Linked DNA regions of Mus musculus. The protein of the gene in region 2 interacts with the protein of the main gene of each other region in a biochemical or structural test. Links are inferred from orthologs where the notes say so. Each region holds a gene or a part of one and is shown on either strand. Other genes may lie near its edges. The genes, in order: Rpl11 and Grwd1.

What was found.
Region 1: the proteins of Grwd1 (region 2) and Rpl11 form a complex in vitro, tested with the Homo sapiens proteins (2 studies listed by BioGRID). The link is inferred for Mus musculus from reciprocal best matches to the Homo sapiens genes GRWD1 and RPL11.

What each region holds. Positions count from the first base shown.
Region 1 is NC_000070.6:136,050,587-136,055,083, reverse strand, and holds the start of Rpl11 (60S ribosomal protein L11), read left to right. Parts: upstream 1-1,690; 5' UTR 1,691-1,730; coding exon 1,731-1,736; exon of another isoform or gene 1,737-2,099; coding exon of another isoform or gene 2,100-2,114; intron 2,115-2,366; coding exon 2,367-2,517; intron 2,518-3,363; coding exon 3,364-3,470; intron 3,471-3,781; coding exon 3,782-3,913; intron 3,914-4,497.
Region 2 is NC_000073.6:45,827,714-45,832,298, forward strand, and holds the start of Grwd1 (glutamate-rich WD repeat-containing protein 1), read right to left. Parts: upstream 3,077-4,585; 5' UTR 3,069-3,076; coding exon 2,882-3,068; intron 2,697-2,881; coding exon 2,579-2,696; intron 2,432-2,578; coding exon 2,269-2,431; intron 281-2,268; coding exon 67-280; intron 1-66. UniProt on the Homo sapiens protein: Histone binding-protein that regulates chromatin dynamics and minichromosome maintenance (MCM) loading at replication origins, possibly by promoting chromatin openness.

The DNA.
Region 1 (4,497 bases), on a different chromosome or scaffold from region 2:
AGGACAGCCAGGGCTACACAGAGAAACCCTGTCTTGAAAAATACCAAAAACAAAACAAACAAACAAACAAACTGAAATTCTCATTATGTGTAGGTTTGAAAGGTTGGAAATGCTGGGGGGCTTCTGGCCTCCCTGTGTGGGTTAGAGAAGGGTACTGGGGGCAGCAGGAAGGAGAGGGCAGGCCCTTTTTCTACCGAAGGCGTCTGTGTTCTTCTTTGCCCATGCATTCATGTTAGAGAAACTGACTGACTCAAGGAAGGCCAGCATCTGCCTGGGATGTGGATCTTGGTGGTCCTCATCCTTGAGTTCAGCTTCTGAGGATTCAATGTAACCCTGGAAGGGGGCGTGTCCTATAGTCTGTAACTGATGATCTCTTCTCAGAAGCATCTGTAAGCCATTGTCAGATCTCTCTCTCTCTCTCTCTCTCTCTCTCTCTCTCTCTCTCACCTCTGATGTCCTTTTTCTTTTTAGCTACCATGTCTAATACTTCTTTTGGAAGGTGGGTGTTGCTTGGATGTTGTAGGCTTGACTTAATTATAAAAGTAACAACTTACATACTTCACTGAATTACACAGTAACCCATGACACAGAAGTAGCTGTTTTACACAAGGGGAAAACAGACAGAAGTAATTTTAATTAGTAACTAGCTAGTTGGATCAAACCCACACCTGCCTGTATTCACAGCTCAGGACTCTTATTTTCAAAATTTACTTTTTATTTATTAGTTTATCTGTATTTAAGTTTTTCCTGCACATATGTCCTTGTAAGTGTGTGCCTGGGGTCCTCAGAAGGAAGACAAGGGCATCAGACTGGAACAGCTGATTTAAGCCACTACTCTGATTTGTATACTTGTTAACATAGTTACAAAGTAAAGGGTCTAGAATCTGTATGGTTTCTTTTTATCTTCGCACTTATTTTATGTATGAGTACTCTATCTGCATGTACACCTGCATACCAGAAGAGGGCATCAGATCCCATTACAGATGTCTGTGAGCTACCATGTGGTTGTTGATAATTGAACTCAGGACCTTGGGAAGAGCTGTCAAGTGCTCTTAACTACTGCGCTGTCTCTCCAGCCTCAGCTGATTTTTTTGTTTTTGTTTTTGTTTTTGTTTTTCGAGACAGGGTTTCTCAGTCTAACCTTGGCTGTCCTGGAACTCACTCTGTAGACCAGAATTCAGAAATCCACCTGCCTCTGCCTCCCAAGTGCTGGGATTGAAGGCGTGCGCCACCACTGCCTGGCGTCTCAGCTTATTTATTTATAAAAATTATTTTATTTATATGGGTGTTTTGCCTGTATGCACACATGGCCTGATGCCTGTAGATGCCAGAAGAGGGATCTGTCTCCCTGGAACTGGAGGCACAACCAGTTTTGAAATACCGTGTTCATGCCGGGAATTTTGTTCTTAACTGTAAAGCCTTCTCTCTAGCCCTTTGCTCAACTGATTTAATGGACTTTGGGCAGTGACATCACTCAAGAACCACCAGGTTCTGAGACTGTTCTTGGAGTCATGGACTCAAGAACATACCAGCATCGGACAACCCACGACCTAGTCTTTTGCCCAAGATGACTGCAGTTTCGAGGACAGTCCACTAGAGGTGGCAGCGCCACGACAGCTATGCCTCTCTTTCCCCCTCTCCCCTCGTTTGTCTGCCTAGAAGAAAAGCCCGCCTCCTGACCCATAAGGCCACGGGGCCGGAAGTCTCCCTCTCTCTTCCTGTTCTCCACCATGGCGGTGAGTAGGCGAGAGTTGGCTTTGCCTCGCTTTCATCCGTCTCCATCCGCAGTCGGCGGAGCCCAGGGCGGCTGTCTCGCGGGTGGCCGGAGGAGGACGGAGCCCGCGAGGCTGTTGGCATTAAGCCCGGCGGGACTGGGCGGCCGTGGGGCACCCCCGCCGCATCGCCGCCCATCCTAAGAATGGGGCTCAGGTCTGCAGCCCCGAGGGCCCAGACGCAGTGTCTGGGGGCTGCCGGAAGTGCGAGCGCGACGTGCGGAGGTCCACGGCGGGGCCAAGGGGACACTTGCAGCTTGTGTGGTGCTGGGGAGTTTCTGCGAGTCCTACTCGCAGGACCCGTGCTAGCTTGGGAAGGGGGACGGCATGGCGCAGAGGCCGGTACTTCCTGTAGTTTTGATTAGGGTTACATTGTATACTTTCTACGATCTCTAGTGTCTGTTCCCTACTCGTGGATCCGCTTGGGATTCAGGCTCTCTCTCTGTGTTCGTTCTCTTCCAAACGCGGAGACCTTGGTGGTCCCGAGGGCTTAGGCGGGATCCGGGACGATAGAAGTCAGAGCGGAGAAGACCTTGGCTGTTTCTCGTCTCTGACGGGGCGGGAGGGTGTTGATGGCTGTGTCCCTCTTCGCAGCAAGATCAAGGGGAAAAGGAGAACCCCATGCGGGAACTGCGCATCCGCAAGCTCTGCCTCAATATCTGCGTCGGGGAGAGCGGAGACAGACTGACCCGGGCAGCCAAGGTGTTGGAGCAGCTCACAGGCCAGACCCCGGTGTTCTCCAAAGGTGAGTGGCGGTGGGCTGACCAGAGAGGAGTGGATCTGGAAAGCTTGCTTCATCTGACCGGAGCACGGGTGCAAATGGACTTATAACGTGAGCTGTCGTGGGCCTGGTTGACAGCTAAGAACAGGGTTAATACCGTACACTGTTGGCATGAGGTCCTATCCATGCTTTTATTTGTATTTGTGTGTGTGTGCATGGGTACTCTGTTTGCATGCATGCCCACATGACAGAAGAGGGAATCAGATCCCGTTTCTGTTGGTTGTGAACAACCGTGTAGGTCCTCAGAACCTGTTAAACCTCTGAGCCATCTTTCCAACACCCCCCCACCAGTGCTTCTTAACTTCTGGCTCTGCCTCAACTCACTTAAAATGAATTGTGATTCCCTTGTTTGGCCACATGACAGGAGTTACCTTGCTAGAAACATGGAGTCTGTTGCTAGTGTGGTTGTGGGTGGTCTGTGATTGGGTTTGGATACTGTTTCTTAGGACCACAGTCAGCATTTTGAAAACACTGGCTTTTGTCAGTTTTAGTCTCCCAATTAGAGCATAATCATTGGTTGGGCCTGATAGCCCACAACTGTAACCCCATTACCCAGGCTGAAGCAGGAGGATTGCTGCCAGTTCAAGGCCAGCCTGGGCTACATTTGAGATTTTTCTCTCTCAAGGAATGTAACAGTCTTGCTAACCTGTGTCTGTTACTATGGCCATGCTGTTTGAGGTTCTTAGTATGGCTGGGTAAATTAGAGATGGAAAGCTCTGTTTTCTGTGTTGTGGACGATGTTGACTGACACGCTAGATGCCGTGCAATGGAAATAAGACATTACCTGCCTCTTGTGTCCCCGTCCTGCAGCTAGATACACTGTCAGGTCCTTTGGCATCCGGAGAAATGAGAAGATTGCTGTTCACTGCACAGTCCGCGGAGCCAAGGCAGAGGAAATTCTGGAGAAAGGCCTGAAGGTGAGGCTGGTGGGGTGGAGGCTGCTGCATTGTCAGAGATGGGCTATATATACACACATACAGTGCCTTGGCGTTTCAGAGATGACTGTTCCTGGATTTCTGTCCTTGGGATTTTCTCTGCTCTTTGGAAGTGGGGATCGTTTGATGGCATTTGTAGCTGGGGCATGACTTGGTTAGGGGAGGGATACCTGTGCTCCTAGCTAGGACTCACAGAGTTTTGGTTTTGCTCTGGGCCTACTGGGTGTTGATCTGAGCTCATGTTGGGCTACTTGAACATGATGGATAGCATGGTCACTTCTGTGTCCATTCAGGTGCGGGAGTATGAGTTGCGGAAAAATAACTTCTCGGATACTGGAAACTTTGGTTTTGGAATTCAAGAACACATTGACCTGGGCATCAAATACGACCCAAGCATTGGGATCTACGGCCTGGACTTCTATGTGGTATGTGGACTTCTCAGTCCCAAGCTGCCTGTGGGGAGAGGTGGCTCCTCTGTCGACGTCCACACATGCTGTCCTGCTGTTGGGATGGGGAGCTGGGTTGAAGTCTCGTGTCTTGTCTGCCTGTGTGTCCCCCTCAGAAAAGGGCCTTGTAGCAAGTGTAGAGGTTCCGGGGTTTATTCCCTGCCGTTGCAAAGCTCTCTGGGTCATCCTGGGCTGCATTTGCCCTTCGAATTTGCTTCCCTGTCTCCACTCATCTCCTTAGCCTGGGGCACAGGAGTTCTGTGAGGAAGTCATGGAAATGTGGGGGGTGCAGACTGCTCAAATGGGGATTGTCATGTGGGAATGGCCGTTATCATAGTGGAAAGCGCTTTGGGGGGGTATGCTGCTTTTGGCGACTTAAATTTTTCCACATTGCACATGTAAGTTTTTGTTTTGAGGCAGGGTCTTTGATTTACAGCCTAAGCTGGCCTTGAACTCCCTGCATGTATATCTGCACCATGTGTGTGCCTGGTGCCTGTGGAGGCCAGAAGAGAGAGGACAAGGGAATCACATACTGGAATTGGGACTGGAGTTACAAGGATAGA
Region 2 (4,585 bases):
CACTTCTTGCCTTTCCAGGAGTCCTACGACCCATCCTCCCTGAACCATGAGAAAATCCAAACTCACCGGGCACCCGAGGGGACCAGTCAAGAGCAAAGCCCTCTCCCATGTGGCCAGCAAAGGAGAAGATGGGTTTTATTCGGGCCTGCTCATCTCGGAGGAAGATGGCCAGGGCCTGGGGGTCATCCACCACCTGCAGGAGCCGCCGCAGTGCGAACACCTCCACTTGGCCCTTCTCTGACCATACTCCAGCCACAGGTTCCTCCCCCAGCCAAGATACCTGCCAGAGGGGTACACAAAACAAAGAGGGGAGAGGCCTAAGGTTAGACAATAGACCCCCAAAACTATAACCTTGGCATGTCTACAGACAAATATAGTCCCCAGACAGCTTTGTAGGAGGAAACTACATGCTCCCAGACCAGCTGATGGCCAGGTCACCTCCTGGCTCTGGGAACAGAAACAGCAAAAGGATGAAGCTCAAGCTCCCAGTGGAGTTCTAGAAAACACTGCGGGTTCTACCGCTCTCACGTCCTTCCCCCTCTACAGTCACTCCAAGATCCTTAAACTGCCCTATTACCATAGACAACACATTCCTCTGACCATCTCCACGGTGGCTAGTTTTATGTCAACTTGACATAAACTAGAGTAATCTGAGAGAAGAGCTTCAATAGAGAAAAAGCCTCAGAGACATAGGGCTGCAGGCAGTAGGACGCTTTGTTAATTAGGAGGGCCCAGTCCATTGTGGGTGGTGCCAGCCTTGGGCAGGCGGTCCCAGATTCTATAAGAAAACAGCTTAGTTGGGCAGTGGTGGAACACAACTTTGGGAGGCAGAGGCAGGCAAATCTTTGCGTTCGAGGCCAGCCTGGTCTACAGAGCTAGGTCCAGGACAGCCAGAACATACAAAGAAACCCTGTCAAACAAAACAATATGAAAAAGACTGAAACAAGCAAGCTGAGTAAGCCATGACAAGCAGGCCAGTAAGCAGCACCCCTTCATGGCCTCTGCATCAGTCCCTGCCACCACATTCTTGCTGTTTCAGTTCCTGTCCTGACTTCCTTTGGTGATGAACAGTGATGTGGAGGTGTAAGCCAAACAAAGCCTTTCCTATCTAAGTTACTTTTGGTCACCGCATCTTATCACAGCGTTAGTAACCCTAACTAAGACATTCACCTTCAGTCTAAAACATTGAGACCCATGTTTGGCTGTCTCCTTCCTCACACCCATCTACGCTGCGCCTCTCAAAACTTTTCTAACCACCTGTACTGTGGCCACCCTTCCCGTGAGTTGTTCCTTATGTAATCAAACACTTTTGGCTCTCTGCAGTCAATTTTCCACACAGAAGCCAGCGGGAGCCTCTGAAAACAAGTACCAGACCAATCACTCCTCTACTTTACGTCCTCCACTTATTCCTAATTTCTCCTGAAGCAGAAACCAAGACTTACATTAGCCCACAAGGGCAAAGCAACCAGTCTTCCAGGCGCTCACCCTGCACATCTGTCACTGTCCCCGCTTAGTCTATTCTGCTCCACACACAGTCGCCTCTCCAGTTTCCCCTGAGATTCTGAATCATGTGTGCCAGGTGCACCCCAGGGTCTTGGCACTTTCGTTTTTCTTCTCTGCAAATCTGTTTCCACAAACACCCCAGCCCTGACACTTGCTGCAGGTCTCTAGTCCAAGAACACCGACTTACCCAGTCCTCCTCAAATTCACCATTTACAAAAAACAACTCTACCCTAGGAACACCCTTATACTACCACACTCAGCATCTTGTAACAAACTACAAGCTTTCTCTTGTTCCCTTTCCCACTAGTATGTTATGTTCATGGGCCCAGAGCTTTCTGTCTACAGGCTAAACCTTCTGGGAATAATGTAACAGATACAGGTCCAACAGAGACAGGTCCAGCTACGGGTTGGCTTTTGCTCTACATGCTCCTTGTATACCGTCTCCCTTTTTTGCTCATCTACCTGATCATAAAGTGCTCTATTTATTGAACTTGAGGTGAGCGCTCTACCACTAAGCTGCCTTTGAACTCATTCTATCCTGCCTCAGTTCCTAAGCAACAGCTCAGTAACACCCTTGCGTTTCACCACAATCAGGAGCTGTTTCAGCCTTTATTATCTGTTTATCAGCTCATAGAGTGAAAATGTCTGAAAATGAGGGGGGAGGGAGAGAAGCTGAGGGGCTGGAGGAGGTACTGAGAGACATTTGGATCTAGGGGGAGGGGTGTGCTGCAGAGAATCCTTAACAAGCCCCTGGAAAGACTGTACCCGAACTCGGTTGATGCCACCGTAGTGAGGAACCATGGCCAGTTCCAGCTGAGGTTTCTGCTCCTCCTCATCCTCTTCATCTTCATCTTCCTCATCGTCATCACTGCCCTCTGAGGGTGACGGCCTGGTGCCATGGAGATTGTGCATCCGAAGCATCATCAGTCTGGGGAAGCAAATACGGGTTAGAAACTGAGTGCCGGGATGTTGAAGGAGGAGGGAGGCTGGGGTCCCAGACTTTTAGGTCTGGCATTAGCAGAGAGCCCTAATGCGTGGGGCCTTGTGGATGTCTTGCAAAGGTCCTGGGTCTCACCTATTGCTCTGGGCGCTCTCCGCCTGGGTTCCCGCACACAGGTAAAGACTGAGAGGGAGCTCTGTCCGGTTGTCGCCCAAGTGATCTCGAACTATGTCAAAGCTGAGACAAGGGGCGCCTAGGGATGGGCGGGGAGATTAGAGTTGCTGAGTAGGAACGAGAGACTGGGAACTCGGCCTCCACCTCCTCCAAAGGCCGGCAGTCTGCAGGGTCACAATCCTCAGACTCCAGACCCTTCGTCCCCCAGACCCCAAGACAGGCCTTTCATTTCCCTGGACCCGAGAGTCAGGTCCCTCTGCCTACCAGTTTGCGCACGATGGTACAGCACGTAGGCCTCTTCATCCATTACCAGCTCCTCTCCCTCGCTCAGTGGCGGCCCTCTGCCGGGCAGGTAGACCTGGGATGGGCCTTCGGTTCCTGGGTCGCAGGTTTCAGCCTCCATGGGTTCTCCGGTTTCACACGTGCGACTCCGGCCCTTGCGCGCCGCCATCTTCGAACCTTCTTGCCCCGGACGCGAAGTGAGAGCGTCACTTCCGGGTTTCACCTCCCACAGTCTAAGACCCGTCCCACTGTACTGTTACCTTGGAAACCTGTGAACCAGCCAGAAGAAGGTAATGCGCAGAGAGATGGCCGCCACAAAGTAACCGCGTCCTGGCTCAGTGAGAAGACTTATATTAGGAGCAATTTTGTCTTTCGTGTGACCTTGGGGAATTCTTCCGCGCAGCAATGGCAAGACCTTCTGGGAGTTGTAGTTCTACAGAAGTCCTCGGCTTCAGAGCCCTCTCCATCTTCCACCTTTCATTCCCAGGGTTGTCTTTCCATTTAGTTAATTATTCATGTATGTAAACGAGCACTTACTGGCAAGGAGACTGGGCTTCTGTTCCCCGAGGACCTTTAAGGCCGATTTCTTCTCCTCTCCTTGTTATGATGGTTTTAAATTATTTCAAAATGCTTTAGGGTAGACAGGCTGGACATTATGTATAAGTTAGTGGATTGGATCTATCCTCCAGGGGCAGACCATTTCCCAACCAGGCATTCCCAGGGCAGCTCTGGTCAGCAGGCACTTAATCAGAAAGTCTCTCTTGAGGCTGCTGCTACAACTGAGTCAGCTCTCTTTATCTACCCATGTACACCCGAGTTTTGGTTAATTGGAGTAATGAAATATTGGAAACAGATCCTCACTGGTGAGATTAAGGAGATTCAAGGCGTGGGTTGGCCACTCTCCATTTGCATAAAATAACCCATCAAATCATTCTTGCCAGTAGCAAGGAGTAGGTCTCTAGATTTGGTCCTAATTTGTGCATCCCTTTTTGTATCTCTACTCTTGGGGGTGTTGTCTCTGCCCTGTCACCTCTCCACCCCTCTCCCCTGGACTCTTGCCGCTTCCTGGGGTTGACTGTGCTTTCCCCAATCTCCTGTTTTCTAGGACTGGGGACTGAACTCAGGGTGTTATGAATATTACAACACCCTGCCTCCGCTACACCACCAGCCCAGTTTCTGTTGTCTGACTGTCCTCCCTAAGGACTCAGTTCTCAGTTTCCATTTTTCTCCAGAGAAGTTGAAGGGACAGACACAGAACTCAGGCTTGGACTGAGGAGGCGTAAAAACATGGTTTTATTCCAAACACTGCAGTGTAGGAGCGGGAGAGGGGAGGAAAGGTCAGGTGTGGGCTCCCAGACCCTCCTCTCAGCCCAGCCTCAGACCCTGCTGAAATCTGGGAAAGGAGACCTGGGGGTGGAGTGTCTGCTGGATTATCACTGAAGGGTCACAAATAAGGGCTGGACTTGAAGATGTGATTGGTGGCATCTGGGGTGGTAGGTGAGTGGGGGGAGACAGGTAAAGGTAGGACTTTCGTGGAGGAGAGGTCATAGGTCAGAGCCAACAAGGATCTAAAAGGGAGGGGTCATTGAGGTCTGACATGAAGGGTCACAGTCTGGTCGGGGCACAGTCTGGGGTCAGATGATCATTTTAGGTGTTGGAAGTCACAGTCTGGGGTCAGGGGTTTCT